3 linked regions of the Ovis aries genome follow. The protein of the gene in region 1 purifies or fractionates together with the protein of each later gene. This does not show direct contact. Links are inferred from orthologs where the notes say so. Each region holds a gene or a part of one and is shown on either strand. Other genes may lie near its edges.

What was found.
Region 2: the proteins of STX12 (region 1) and NAPG purify together in Homo sapiens (affinity purification with mass spectrometry; 3 studies listed by BioGRID and IntAct, counting the BioPlex papers as one, with this or other methods). This does not show direct contact. The link is inferred for Ovis aries from reciprocal best matches to the Homo sapiens genes STX12 and NAPG.
Region 3: the proteins of STX12 (region 1) and NSF purify together in Homo sapiens (co-immunoprecipitation; 4 studies listed by BioGRID and IntAct, with this or other methods). This does not show direct contact. The link is inferred for Ovis aries from reciprocal best matches to the Homo sapiens genes STX12 and NSF.

Annotation. Positions count from the first base shown.
Region 1 is NC_056055.1:239,287,288-239,290,787, forward strand, and holds part of STX12 (syntaxin-12), read right to left. Parts: intron 1,694-3,500; coding exon 1,621-1,693; intron 932-1,620; coding exon 849-931; intron 1-848. UniProt on the Homo sapiens protein: SNARE promoting fusion of transport vesicles with target membranes. Together with SNARE STX6, promotes movement of vesicles from endosomes to the cell membrane, and may therefore function in the endocytic recycling pathway.
Region 2 is NC_056076.1:42,687,074-42,691,255, forward strand, and holds the start of NAPG (gamma-soluble NSF attachment protein), read left to right. Parts: upstream 1-1,382; 5' UTR 1,383-1,427; coding exon 1,428-1,483; exon of another isoform or gene 1,484-1,709; intron 1,710-3,311; coding exon 3,312-3,379; intron 3,380-4,182. UniProt on the Homo sapiens protein: Required for vesicular transport between the endoplasmic reticulum and the Golgi apparatus.
Region 3 is NC_056064.1:45,304,005-45,308,235, reverse strand, and holds the start of NSF (vesicle-fusing ATPase), read left to right. Parts: upstream 1-1,431; 5' UTR 1,432-1,598; coding exon 1,599-1,616; intron 1,617-4,231.

The sequences.
Region 1 (3,500 bases):
ATATTTTAGAATAAAATTTGTGATATTATAAACTCTTCATAAACATCTTTTAATTCCCACATAAAATAACATGAAGTGGATGTAGATAATTTACTTGACTGTTCTTTACTGTTGGATATTAAAGTCATCACTCACTTTTTAAAAGGAAACTACTGTTAAATACAATTTCTTTAAGAACAGTCCCAGGGGAAGTACAATTATCTTAGGAACATGGTAAATGACTAAATGCTATTTGTTTCTAAAAACCCATGCAATACCAGGTTGAGGAGAAATGAGAAGGACCTCATTCACAACATGTGTAAACTGAGGTGAAGACCCGGATAAAGTTCGTAAAATCAGAGTTTCAAATAATATGTAGAAAAATACCACTTTACAGAAAGTAGAACAATTAACCCCTATTTGTTCACAGCAAAATAACCCTCATATGATAAGCCAACTAATTCATACATAAACAGCAGTCCAAGTTGAGCCTCTGTCCATTTTCTGTGGCAACAGTCAACATAAATTATCTGCAAAGTCCTACTTTGTACCTATTACTATCCTAACTGAAACAAATTTCATCTGTTTAGGTTAGAAAATTAGCCTTACCCCAAATTAGGTATCATGCTAGCTTATCGGGATAGCTTTGTAGCTAAGAGGCTTTTATGTCAGTTTATTCAAAGTTTGATGCCTTTTTTGTAGATCTCTCTGCAAAGGAAAATACTAAAAATGGGGCTGGGATGGCAATTACGACTGCCTGCCTCCAGCTTAAGACCAAACAGACGGCTGCAGCTGTTCTCCATGTGTCAGTGACTCTCATGGCCCCTAGAGTCTACAGCAGAGTGACTTTCTTTTGTACCTGCTTTTACCTGATAGTAAGCAGCTCGCTGTAGCTGGTCAGTGGCTCTTTCTACATGCACCTCTGAGCTTTCCACGTTGGCTTCTATGCTGTCTGCAAAAGAGAAGGGCAGAGGATGTTTTACCACAGTCGGATGTTTCAAGACTGCAAACTGAAGAGCATTCTGATGCTAAGGGTCCTGTTCACCATCATCACTCCAACTATCCAGCCATGAGATCAAAAGTTACCAACCCCATAAGAGAACAGCCCTCTTCTTTGGAAATAAACACCAAAGAATTATTTAGAGGTAGAGGGTTATGAAGTATGTAAATCATCCACAACAGTTCAGAAAAAAATCAGGTAAATAAAAACAGTGCAAATAAAAAGCAAATGGGGTAGAATGTTAACAAGAAGTAAATCTAAGTAAAGCTTATAAAGGAGTTCCTTGTTATTTTCATTTTTGCAACTTTTTGTGAACTTGAAATTATTTCCAAATAAAAAGTTTTTTTAAAAAAGGGTTTCAAATCCCATAGTTGTGCAAGTTTCTGGAGATAAAAACTGAGAAGCTGACAGCAATTTCCCTAAACAGCCAAAGACTTAACATGAGGCTACGGCAAGTGAATGGGCTATTCATGGAAGCCTCAGTTTAATTTCCACATTTGACAAGGTAAGAAAATTGCTAAGAAAATGAATTTAGTGATTTTTAAATGGTATTCCTAGATTCCTAAGACACAGCTTACCGACTTCTTTGCATACAAAAACTATCCACTCACCTTTATGTTAAAGGTATCAATAATACATACCAATGATATCACCTTGGTCATGGATCATCATGGCCAAATCTTTAAATATCTGATTGACATCCAAAATATCAGCCTAAGGAACATACACACAAAAAAATTAACCAATATTAAGTAACATGTTGGAAGATTCATTTCCTCTACTTACCTAAAGTTCTGGCTATTAACATAACACATGTGTTTTTAAAGCTTATAAATCATGCTTTCTCTATAAACAGAAAATGAAAATAAAGTTAATTATTAACACTTACTAAGTGACTTCTGTATGCAGAGTACTATGCTGGTAGGTAATTAGAAGCACAGTCTCTTGGAGCCTATCAGTTACAGAGGACTGTTAACCCTTCACAGTCTTGTTCAACCTTAAATTGAGAACTTCTTTGGACCTCCCTACTAAAATGTGGACAATGACAGTACCCATCTCATAGCATTTTCAGAAGTACTAGATAAAAAGTTCTTCAGTTCAGTTCATTTCAGTTCAGTTGCTCAGTCGTGTCTGACTCTTTGCGACCCCATGAATCGCAGCACACCAGGCCTCCCTGTCCATCACCAACTCCCGGAGTTCACTCAGACTCACGTCCATTGAGTCTGTGATGCCATCTAGCCATCTCATCCTCTGTCGTCCCCTTCTCCCCCTGCCCCCAATCCCTCCCAGCATCAGAGTCTTTTCCAATGAGTCAACTCTTCTCATGAGGTGGCCAAAGTACTGGAGCTTCAGCTTTAGCATCATTCCTTCCAAAGAAATCCCAGGGCTGATCTCCTTCAGAATGGACTGGTTGGATCTCCTTGCAGTCCAAGGGACTCTCAAGAGTCTTCTCCAACACCACAGTTCAAAAGCATCAATTCTTCGGTGCTCAGCCTTCTTCACAGTCCAACTCACATCCATACATGACTACTGGAAAAAACACAGTCTTGACTAGATGGACCTTAGTTGGTAAAGTAATGTCTCTGCTTTTGAATATGCTGTCTAGGTTGGTCATAACTTTTCTTCCAAGGAGTAAGCGTCTTTTAATTTCATGGCTGCAGTCACCATCTGCAGTGATTTTGGAGCCCCCCAAAATAAAGTCTGACACTATTTCCACTGTTTCCCTATCTATTTCCCATGAAGTGATGGGACCGGATGCCATGATCTTCATTTTCTGAATGTTGAGCTTTAAGCCAACTTTTTCACTCTCCTCTTTCACTTTCATCAAGAGGCTTTTTAGTTTCTCTTCACTTTCTGCTGTAAGGGTGATGTCATCTGCATATCTGAGGTTATTGATATTTCTCCCGGCAATCTTGATTCCAGTTTGTGCTTCTTCCAGCCCAGCGTTTCTCATGATGTACTCTGCATAGTAGTTAAATAAGCGGGGTGACAATATACAGCCTTGACGTACTCCTTTTCCTATTTGGAACCAGTCTGTTGTTCCATGTCCAGTCCTAACTGTTGCTTCCTGACCTGCATATAGGTTTCTCAAGATGCCGGTCAGGTGGTCTGGTATTCCCATCTCTTTCAGAATTTTCCAGTTTATTGTGATCCACACAGTCAAAGGCTTTGGCATAGTCAATAAAACAGCTGCTGCTGCTGCTGCTGCTGCTAAGTCGCTTCAGTCGTGTCCAACTCTGTGCGACCCCATAGACAGCAACCCACCAGGCTCCCCTGTCCCTGGGATTCTCCAGGCAAGAACACTGGAGTAGGTTGCCATTTCCTTCTCCAATGCATGAAAGTGAAAAGTGAAAGTGAAAAGTGAAAGTGAAAAGTGAAAATGAAGTCGCTCAGTCGTGTCTGACTCTTAGTGACCCCATGGACTGCAGCCTACCAGGCTCCTCCGTCCATGGGATTTTCCAGACAAGAGTACTGGAGTGGGGTACCACTGCCTTCTCCACAATAAAGCAGAAATAGATGT
Region 2 (4,182 bases), on another chromosome or scaffold:
AAGCAGTCCAACAAAATACAGAGTAGGACTCCACGAAGCCAAGTCAGTAGGTGGTTTTATTCCCTTTTATTCAAAGGGAACAAGGGACTTCCCTGGTGGTCAGTGGTTAAGACACTGAGCTTCCAATGCAGGGGGAACAGGTGCAATCTCTGATTAGGGAACTAAGATACTTCATGCCACGCTGTGCAGCAGTTTCTTCTCCGTCTTGAGTGATGCTCATCAAGAGGACTGTGCTGGTTCAAGCACCTGCGAAAGTGACTTATGTTGGACATCAATACTGTAGATCGTCCCAGCTCTACTGCACTCAGAGCTCTTGGGCAGCACTGCATAACTTACCTACAACATAGTGAGAGCATCGCTTTTATGTGAAAAGTTCAGTAAGAAAGCAAAACCGAATTTGACCCTGTCATCCAATGTCATCATCTCTTTTGTTTGGGTACTTCCAGGTTGTAAAAGCACGTGCACGTAGTGCCACCTGGTGTTCCTAGGCGGAACTGCAGGACACAGAGCCCACAGGCCTCTGACCGCAGAACCTGAGAGAGGGGGGAGAAAGCCACTTGACAGCCCGCTTCAATCAAACCTAGTAAACTCTCAAGCCCAACTTTCAAATTATTAGTGAAATTTCAAAAAAGCCCCATATGCAGTAAAGTTCACTGTGATTTTTTCTTTAAAAACATTTGGAAATCTATAATCCGTCCATGCACCTAAATGGGCGTAATGTGAGTTATTATTAATACAATACACTTGACCCTTAAACAACATGGGATGAATTGTGTGGGTCCACTTATATGCTGGAACCACCGTGAGTCGTGGGTCGGCAGCTGGTTTGCTAGTATTTCTGCGAATCCCTTGCCCCCGACCTTCAACCGCTGCGCACTGATGAGCATCAGCCCGTGGTTACCCAGCAGTGACCCGGACGCACAGTCGAGTTTGCAGATTGACTGACAGACGTTTGGCCCAGATGTAGGATGAATGATCCAGACTGTTCCGGCCGAAAAAGGAAAGGAACAGATCGCAACGCCCACGCGCATTCTTGGGAGAGGGAGGTGAGGTCCACCGGCGTGGGGTCCGGCCTGTTGCACTCCCTGCAGACCTGCCGTGGTTAGAACCGCACCTGATACATAACAGGTGCTCAACACACCTGAGCTCAACCCCGGCAATAGATGCACGAACCTCCTTCTCTACCCACCGCGCCTGCGCAGGAGCCACGCGTGCGACCATTCCGCGCGCTCTGCGCCTGCACAACGTCTGCGTGCATAACGTCTGTCTGCATAGCGCCTACGCGGCTTCCGGGCCGCTTCGCTGCGCTAGGTTTGAGCCCTGTGAGCCCCGGTAGTACGGCGGCGGCGCCGTCCCGGCCTCCTCTTCGGCGTTCCCACGCCCACTCGGCGGGCTCTCGGCCTCCACGTCAGGGCCGCGCCGCGGAGATGGCGGCTCAGAAGATAAACGAGGGGCTGGAACACCTGGCCAAAGCAGAGAAATAGTGAGTGAGGGGCCCAGCGCGGCCTTGGGCGAGCGCCGGGGTCGGCGCCTCCTAGGCCAGTCTGAGTCAGCACCAGGTGGGGGGCTCTGCCGCGGGGGCGGAGCCGGGCGGACGGGGTGGGGCCGCCGCGCCCCGGAAGCGCTGCCTTCCGCCGCCGGAAGTGGGCGTGCCTTGGGCGGTGGGGGCGCTGCCGGGTCCGAGCGCATCTCTCTGTATCTTCGCGCAGGTGCTCCTGGTTCCTGGCTCTTTGGGCAGTTACCTGGCCCAACTATGTTTTAAAATCTCTAGCTTTTCCCAAGTGTAGCAACAAGATGACTTAACGGATGTGTCTTGTCTTTGGTGGAATTTTAAAAGTTCTGGTGGACAATGGGGCTTCCCAGGTGACTCAGTGGTAAAGAATCCATCTGACAGAGCTGGAGACGCGGTTTCCACCCCTGGGTCAGGAACCCTGGAGAAGGGAATGGCAACCCACTCCGGTATTCTTGCCTGGAGAATCCCAACGACAGAGGAGCCTGGCCGGCTACAGTCCATGGGGTCACAGAGAGTCGGACACGACTGAGTGCGCGCGAGCGCACACACACACACGGTGGAAAATATAATGAGGACTTCGGGGTAGGGATGGGGATTAGAATTTTGCTTTATTGCGATGCTTTCTCAATTTTGTGGATTAGAGTAGACAAGCTGCATTTTAACCGTTTTGTTTTTCTTAGCTTGAGAGTTGTTTACAAATTTGAACCTTACAGTAGAGTTACACAAACATAAACTTTAATTGGCAAATTAAAAGGAACACAAGAAAGGCTGAACGTCTGCAGGCTATAGGGGCTTCCCCCTCTCTCAGTTAAGGTGCCCCCCTGATTCCTTGGCTTTCACTAACTGAATTCAGAATTTAAGATGGTGTTTTATTTAGCAATTCTTATGCACACCCAGTGTTCTTGCCTGGAGAATCCCAGGGACGGGGGAGCCTGGTGGGCTGCCATCTATGGGGTCGCACAGAGTCGGACACGACTGAAGTGACTTAGCAGCAGCAGCAGCAGCAGCATGCATACCTAAGTTTGACAGTCACAGGGTTAGTTTAAGCTGTAAGTCTGAAGTTACAGAAAGCATCAACGGAAAGGACACGGAGATGTGGGCTCAGGATCGATTGGCCTGTGGTCCTGGAGAGCAGCTGCTCTTGTTCTCCAGTCCCGCTCTCCTCCCCATGTTGCCCTGCCCTCTGGTTGCCCTTGCTGTCCACTGCAGCTCATTGCAGACTTCCTGCTGCCGCCCTCTGTCCCTCTGAGGGTTTGTCTTTCTGGCCTCGCTCTGCAGTCTCCTTGGAGGATCTTAACTGGGCGCTGGTGTGGCCTGTGTTGATGGCTCAGGTTATCTGTGCCTCTCCTGAGCTGCAGTCTCAGGAATCCAGCTGCTCACTGCGGTACCTCGACTGTCCCAGGCTTTAGTGCACCTCAGGGCTTGTTACACCCTGGATGCTGCTGATGCTACCCTGTTTCCGGTTCAGCAGGGCTGGGGGAGGCTTAACAATTCATACATTTCTAGCGAGCTAGCAGCAAATACTGGCACTGCTCGTCTGGGGACCAGGCAGTGATTACCTCAACTCTCCTTGGATGTTATGTAGACATTTCAGAAGGGGGAGACCATGTCTGTGACAGTGGGAGGGAAAGTGATGAAGTGTGTCCAGGAACTTTGGATGGAGGTAGACTAATGGGGACTTTCCAGTTGATGGTTCCCCTCTCTCCCTATTTACAGACCTACAAAGTCCTTACAAGCAGGGTTCTGACTTAAGAATGTGGTTGATAACTTCTGTTAACTGTATCTTCCTTTCATTTAGCCTGAAAACTGGTTTTTTGAAATGGAAGCCGGATTATGACAGCGCTGCTTCTGAGTATGGAAAAGCAGGTATCTGTGACAGTTGTCCTGCCTCCTGCAGTGTGTTATGTTGGTCTCAGCATAATTCTCACTCTTAGTGTTTCCTGTAGCATCTTAGTTCTTAGAAAAAACAACCAAAGACCTGCCCAGACCCTGTGCTTTTCTAGGTTCTGTTTGCAGGTGTCTTGAGTGCCGAGTTGCAAACCCGGCTGCGTCCCTCTCCCATGAGGGCAGACTGTGGGGTGGGCGCAGCTGTGGGCTTTTAGCATCATTAGCGTGTTCTTGAAGTGCAGTCAGTTCATACTATATACTTCCAGGAGTTGTCATACTTTTCTCCCAGCTGTTTCTGAATAAAGACTTTTTTGGTTCACTTTGTAAAGCGCGTAAGCCTCATTCTCAGCAGTTGTTTGTGCACAGCGCGTGTTAGCCTCTTGTTCTTTACAGCCTTGGTCAGAGATGTGCTGATAGTTTTTCATCCAACGTTAAGTTTATAGGCATATTTTAATATCTTGGTTTGCATATAAGATAAAAGCAGTCTGAAATTTCCAACAGAAAGAGAACTTATTACAAATTCAGCATTTTCAGTTATGGAATGACAGCTTTCAGCGTATCTGTGATGATTTTGGACATAAAGCATAGTATGATTTTGAAATAGGCTGAACACGTTTTATTGTGTGCTTCTGCGGTGGTTGTGATCACATGTGTTAGCCTTGGGTAGAAATCACCTAAGAAATCTGCTTTTAGCAGACTTTAGTTTTAGTATATCACCAGGAATAAAGAAGTCAGAAAAAATTAAAACTAATTGGCACAATGTAGGATATAGTTTCTAGAGA
Region 3 (4,231 bases), on another chromosome or scaffold:
ATGAGACACACACAAGAGTGTAGGTTTTATGCTTCCTCTTTTTACATTCTGTGCCCAGGACTAGCAGGCCAGTATGGTCGGTAACCTTAGACGGCCTTTTGGAGGTAGATCTGGCCATTCTCCTGGTTTGTGATTCCTACAGTTGAGATGAGACCTGGTTGGAAAGAGAACTGTCTCTTCTGGAAACCTAGCTATCTCTCTTGCAGTAGGCAAGAGATTGGGTCTCTTGATTAGGCCTTTGTTGCATGAGTGTAGGTACCTTGCATCCAAACTATATTTTGTAGTTTGAACATTTATACCATCTTTGCAATGGGAATTATTGGAGACTGCCCAACCATTAAAAAAAAAAACAGACCGTCATTTCTCAACTTCATTGAGGTATAACCTCTGCACAATAAAATATGATCAAGACATAGAACTATCTCAAAAAATTCTTGCTTTTTTGCTGTCCATTTCACCCCCATCCCAGTCAATCACTGATTTTGTGTGTGTATGGTTATTCTAGATTAATTTTTTCTCTTCTGAGATTTCATCTGATTCTAAGATGAGGCTTAAATAACCTCTTTTAAGGATCTGGCTTTACTCGGCGTTATGGTCTGAGGTTTACGCATGCTGTTACGTATATCAGGACGTAGTTTCTTTTTAATTGCTGGGTAGTGTCCATTGTATGCCTGTGCCACAGTTTGTTTATCCATTCAACTGTTGGCAGATCTTTGTGTTGTTTCCATTTTTGATTTATGAATAAAGTTGCTGGTGGACATTTGTGTACAGGTCATCATTTTCATTTCTCTTGACTTAAAATCTAGAGATCGATCTACTGGGGCACATTGACCTTTTAAGAAACTGCATCACGTCTTTGCCAGTATTTGGTGCTATCAGCTTTTACATTTTCCTTTGTGTGTGTGTGTGTGTATATGTGTGTGTGTTTCTTTTGAATACCGAAATGGGAAGTCTTTTCTTTTTTTTTTCCAATATAAATTTTGTAAAGGAATTTTAAGGCCTTACGGGATGTCAGGAGATTCATCTATGTGAATAGTTACTAGTCTGAGATGGATAGTGTGAAGGGTATTCTTACAGACTCTCCACAAGATTACTATAGGACATACAAGTTTGACTTATTTCTACCTATCACTTCTAGTCCCGCAGAACTTCAGAATTTTAATGGAAATTATTATTTCAGGAGTCATAGCAGAGTGATTCCATAGGCCTCAAGACAGGTGTTACTGATGGCCTTTCTCACACTGCTTTAGACTAGCTATGTCCAGTGAAACTGTCTGCAGTGATCCCTAATAGCCACGTGTGGCTCTCAGAATGGGACTAGTGCACCTGAAGAACTGAGTGTTAAAATTTTAACTAGTTTTAATTTTAATAATGCGTCTAGTGGTTATTTTATTGCACAGTACATTTCTAAAATGTTATTTTTCAGGAAACACATAGTTGAGCGAGACCTGTTAGTTGAGCTGGCTCTGGAGCAGGTTCACATAGGTTGTCCTACTTCCGTTTCCTGTGGAGGAATTTGTGTCTCTGGAGACATGTAACCTAGGCCTGAAGCACCACAGAGAAGACCAGTGGGTTCATGAGTGTTGCGGTTATTTGTAATGAGGTCTTTTAATCAGGTACTACATGCTTTGGTTTTTTTCTTTTTAATTTTGCCCTACTAATTCTTCAGTAAAAAATAAAGCATATACTTAGAAATCTAATTTTTAAAGCTAATCTTTGGACAAAAGTATGTTATTTAAATTTGAAAACCTGCAGTGTTGTCTGGAGGAGTCCTGGTTACACCCCTCTCCCGTTTTTTTTTTTTTTTGGAAGAGAAGAAGCCAGTTCTCTTCCTATACTTTAAAGGCTCTCACATAAGTAATGATGTCATTAGTTAGTCACGCAGTTGTGTCCGACTCTTTGCAACCCGATGGACTGTAGCTCTCCAGGCTCCTTTGTCCATGGAATTCTCCAAGCAAGAGTATTGAAGTGAGTTGCCATGCCTTTCTCTAGAGGATCTTCCTGACCCAGGAATCAAACCCGGCTCCCATGCATTGCAGGCAGATTCTTTACCATCTGAGCCACCAGGGAAGCTCAATGATATAATTACTTCTGCTAAGGTTTCCTTTAAAGGTTTGTTGAGATTTTCATACTTTTGAGAAGCGATGAATTAATAATTCTTTACATTTCAAGTTATTAAGGAAAACATTTTATAGTCTTTAGACAGTTAAATGTTCTAGTAACTCAAATAGTTAAACTTATAACTAAAATTTCCTGTCAGTTTCAATATGTTCATTTCATAGTAGTTACGTGGACATTGTGGCTGGGCTTTTGTCATTGTTTCCTAGAGGCAAGGTCAGTATTAGAAAAACTGTGGAATTTTCCTTTGCCTTTATTGTGATAAGTAAACAGCGACTATTTATAGGGACTTATATTCTAATGAGAAAATGAGATATCCTGCTTGGCTTGCCATAAAAACACAGATGCTTCTAGATTCCAGTAGGGAGGCCTTTTGCTCATAGCATCTGTTTCAGTTACCCAGCCAGATGACTTCTACAGAGTTTTTCACTCTTTTAAAGGACACCAAATCTTTGGCAAGAAAGCAAGTTCACAAAGGGAAAGGTTAAGTTAGCATTTTGTAAATTTTAAAATAACTTTGGGTGTATCAATTCTGTGTGTTAATTAAATTGTATCAGTTCCTGAATAACCTTGAAATGTCCTTTGCATCCATGTTCTTTGAATTGTTTATTCTGCAGTTGAGGTAGATTGTATTGATCCATACATACTAAGTTCATCTGTTCAACAAATGTCTGATGAGCACTGACTGTATCTAAGCCCTGTCTTAGCCTTGAGAACTGTAGACGCGAACAGGGTACAGTCTCAGTCCTTAAGAGTCTTATGTCTTTCATGCAGTATAAACAGACAGTAAAAAATATTCTTCCATTTGACATTTGTGTTTTCAGGAGGGGAAGGTGTTTAGGAAGGTCTTCTAAAAGATGTAATTCCTGAGCTGAGAGACTGGGACGAGTAGGAGTTGACTAGGCAAGGGGCTCAGAGTTAGGGAAGAGAGGAGAATGTAAGAGAAAGAAGCTTTTGTAGGTGAGAGAGACCCTAGGGCGAGTGGGAAACAAGGTCTGCACATTTTGATCAGGTGGCTGGTCAGACTGTGACTATGGGCAGAAGTACTGTCTCATTTGGAAAGCAGACTTGTGACCTAAACCTTATTTGTGTCATGTTCTAAATTATACCCCAAAGGATTATCCTGCAAACCTTTCAGGTGCGCGTGCCCCACTTCAGAGTCCATTGCTCTGAACGGCTGGGATAGCTGTGTGGAAACTAGCCTTTTAGTTTCAAACAAAAGCAAAGCAGAGTAATTTATTTCCCTCTATAAATTTGTATTTGGAAGACGAATTTACGGAGAATCAGCTTTGGCTTGATGTTTGAAGAATGAGCATGTTAGTCATAAACAGGCTACAAATGTCATATTTCACTAACTAGGAAACCCTAGAGGATGGAGGAAGGATTATTGGTTACATACATTGTATGAAGGAATGTTTTTCTCATAGCTGTTGGCCAAAAGGACAGTTAATTGCCATTTTATATTAAATATACCTGTAATTATTTTTGTTGGGAGATACTTGGAAGATAGCTTTTATTAGTCTACAGGAGATATGGTTCATACTACGTGGGATCTCTTATGAAGAAATGCTTTTTCATGATATACTGTATCAAATTTATATCATTGCATTTTTATCAGTCAGAATCTTTTGTCTTTTGAAGAAATGGAAAACCCAACCCACGTAAGCTTGAGGAAAAGGGGATTTATTGACTCAGCCAACTTTCAGAACTGGTCTCCAGGGCTTTAACTTCTTTGTCGGGTCTGAGTTTCAAGGTGTCGGTCTTTCTCACCTTTGCTTTCTCTGTGATAGTTTTATTCTTTCAGCGCAGAAAGCCCTTCTTCACTTGGTGGTGACACAAGGGAGAGCACCTGTCTTCTAGCTCCTGTCTATGTGAAACCCCATGGATGGATTAGGACTGTGATGATGGCCTGTGTGCTGTGATTGGCAGGCCTGTAGGAGCGCGTGGAATGGGAAAGGAACAGCTTCTGAGAGGCAGGGTTTGCTATTGCCACAGAGGAAGGGGTGCCCGGAGTCAAAAGCATTGTGTTTATTACAAGTAATGGGAAATAGAGAACAGGAAGGCATAACATATTCTTTAAGGATATAAAAGGTGACTTAATTTTGTTTTCCTA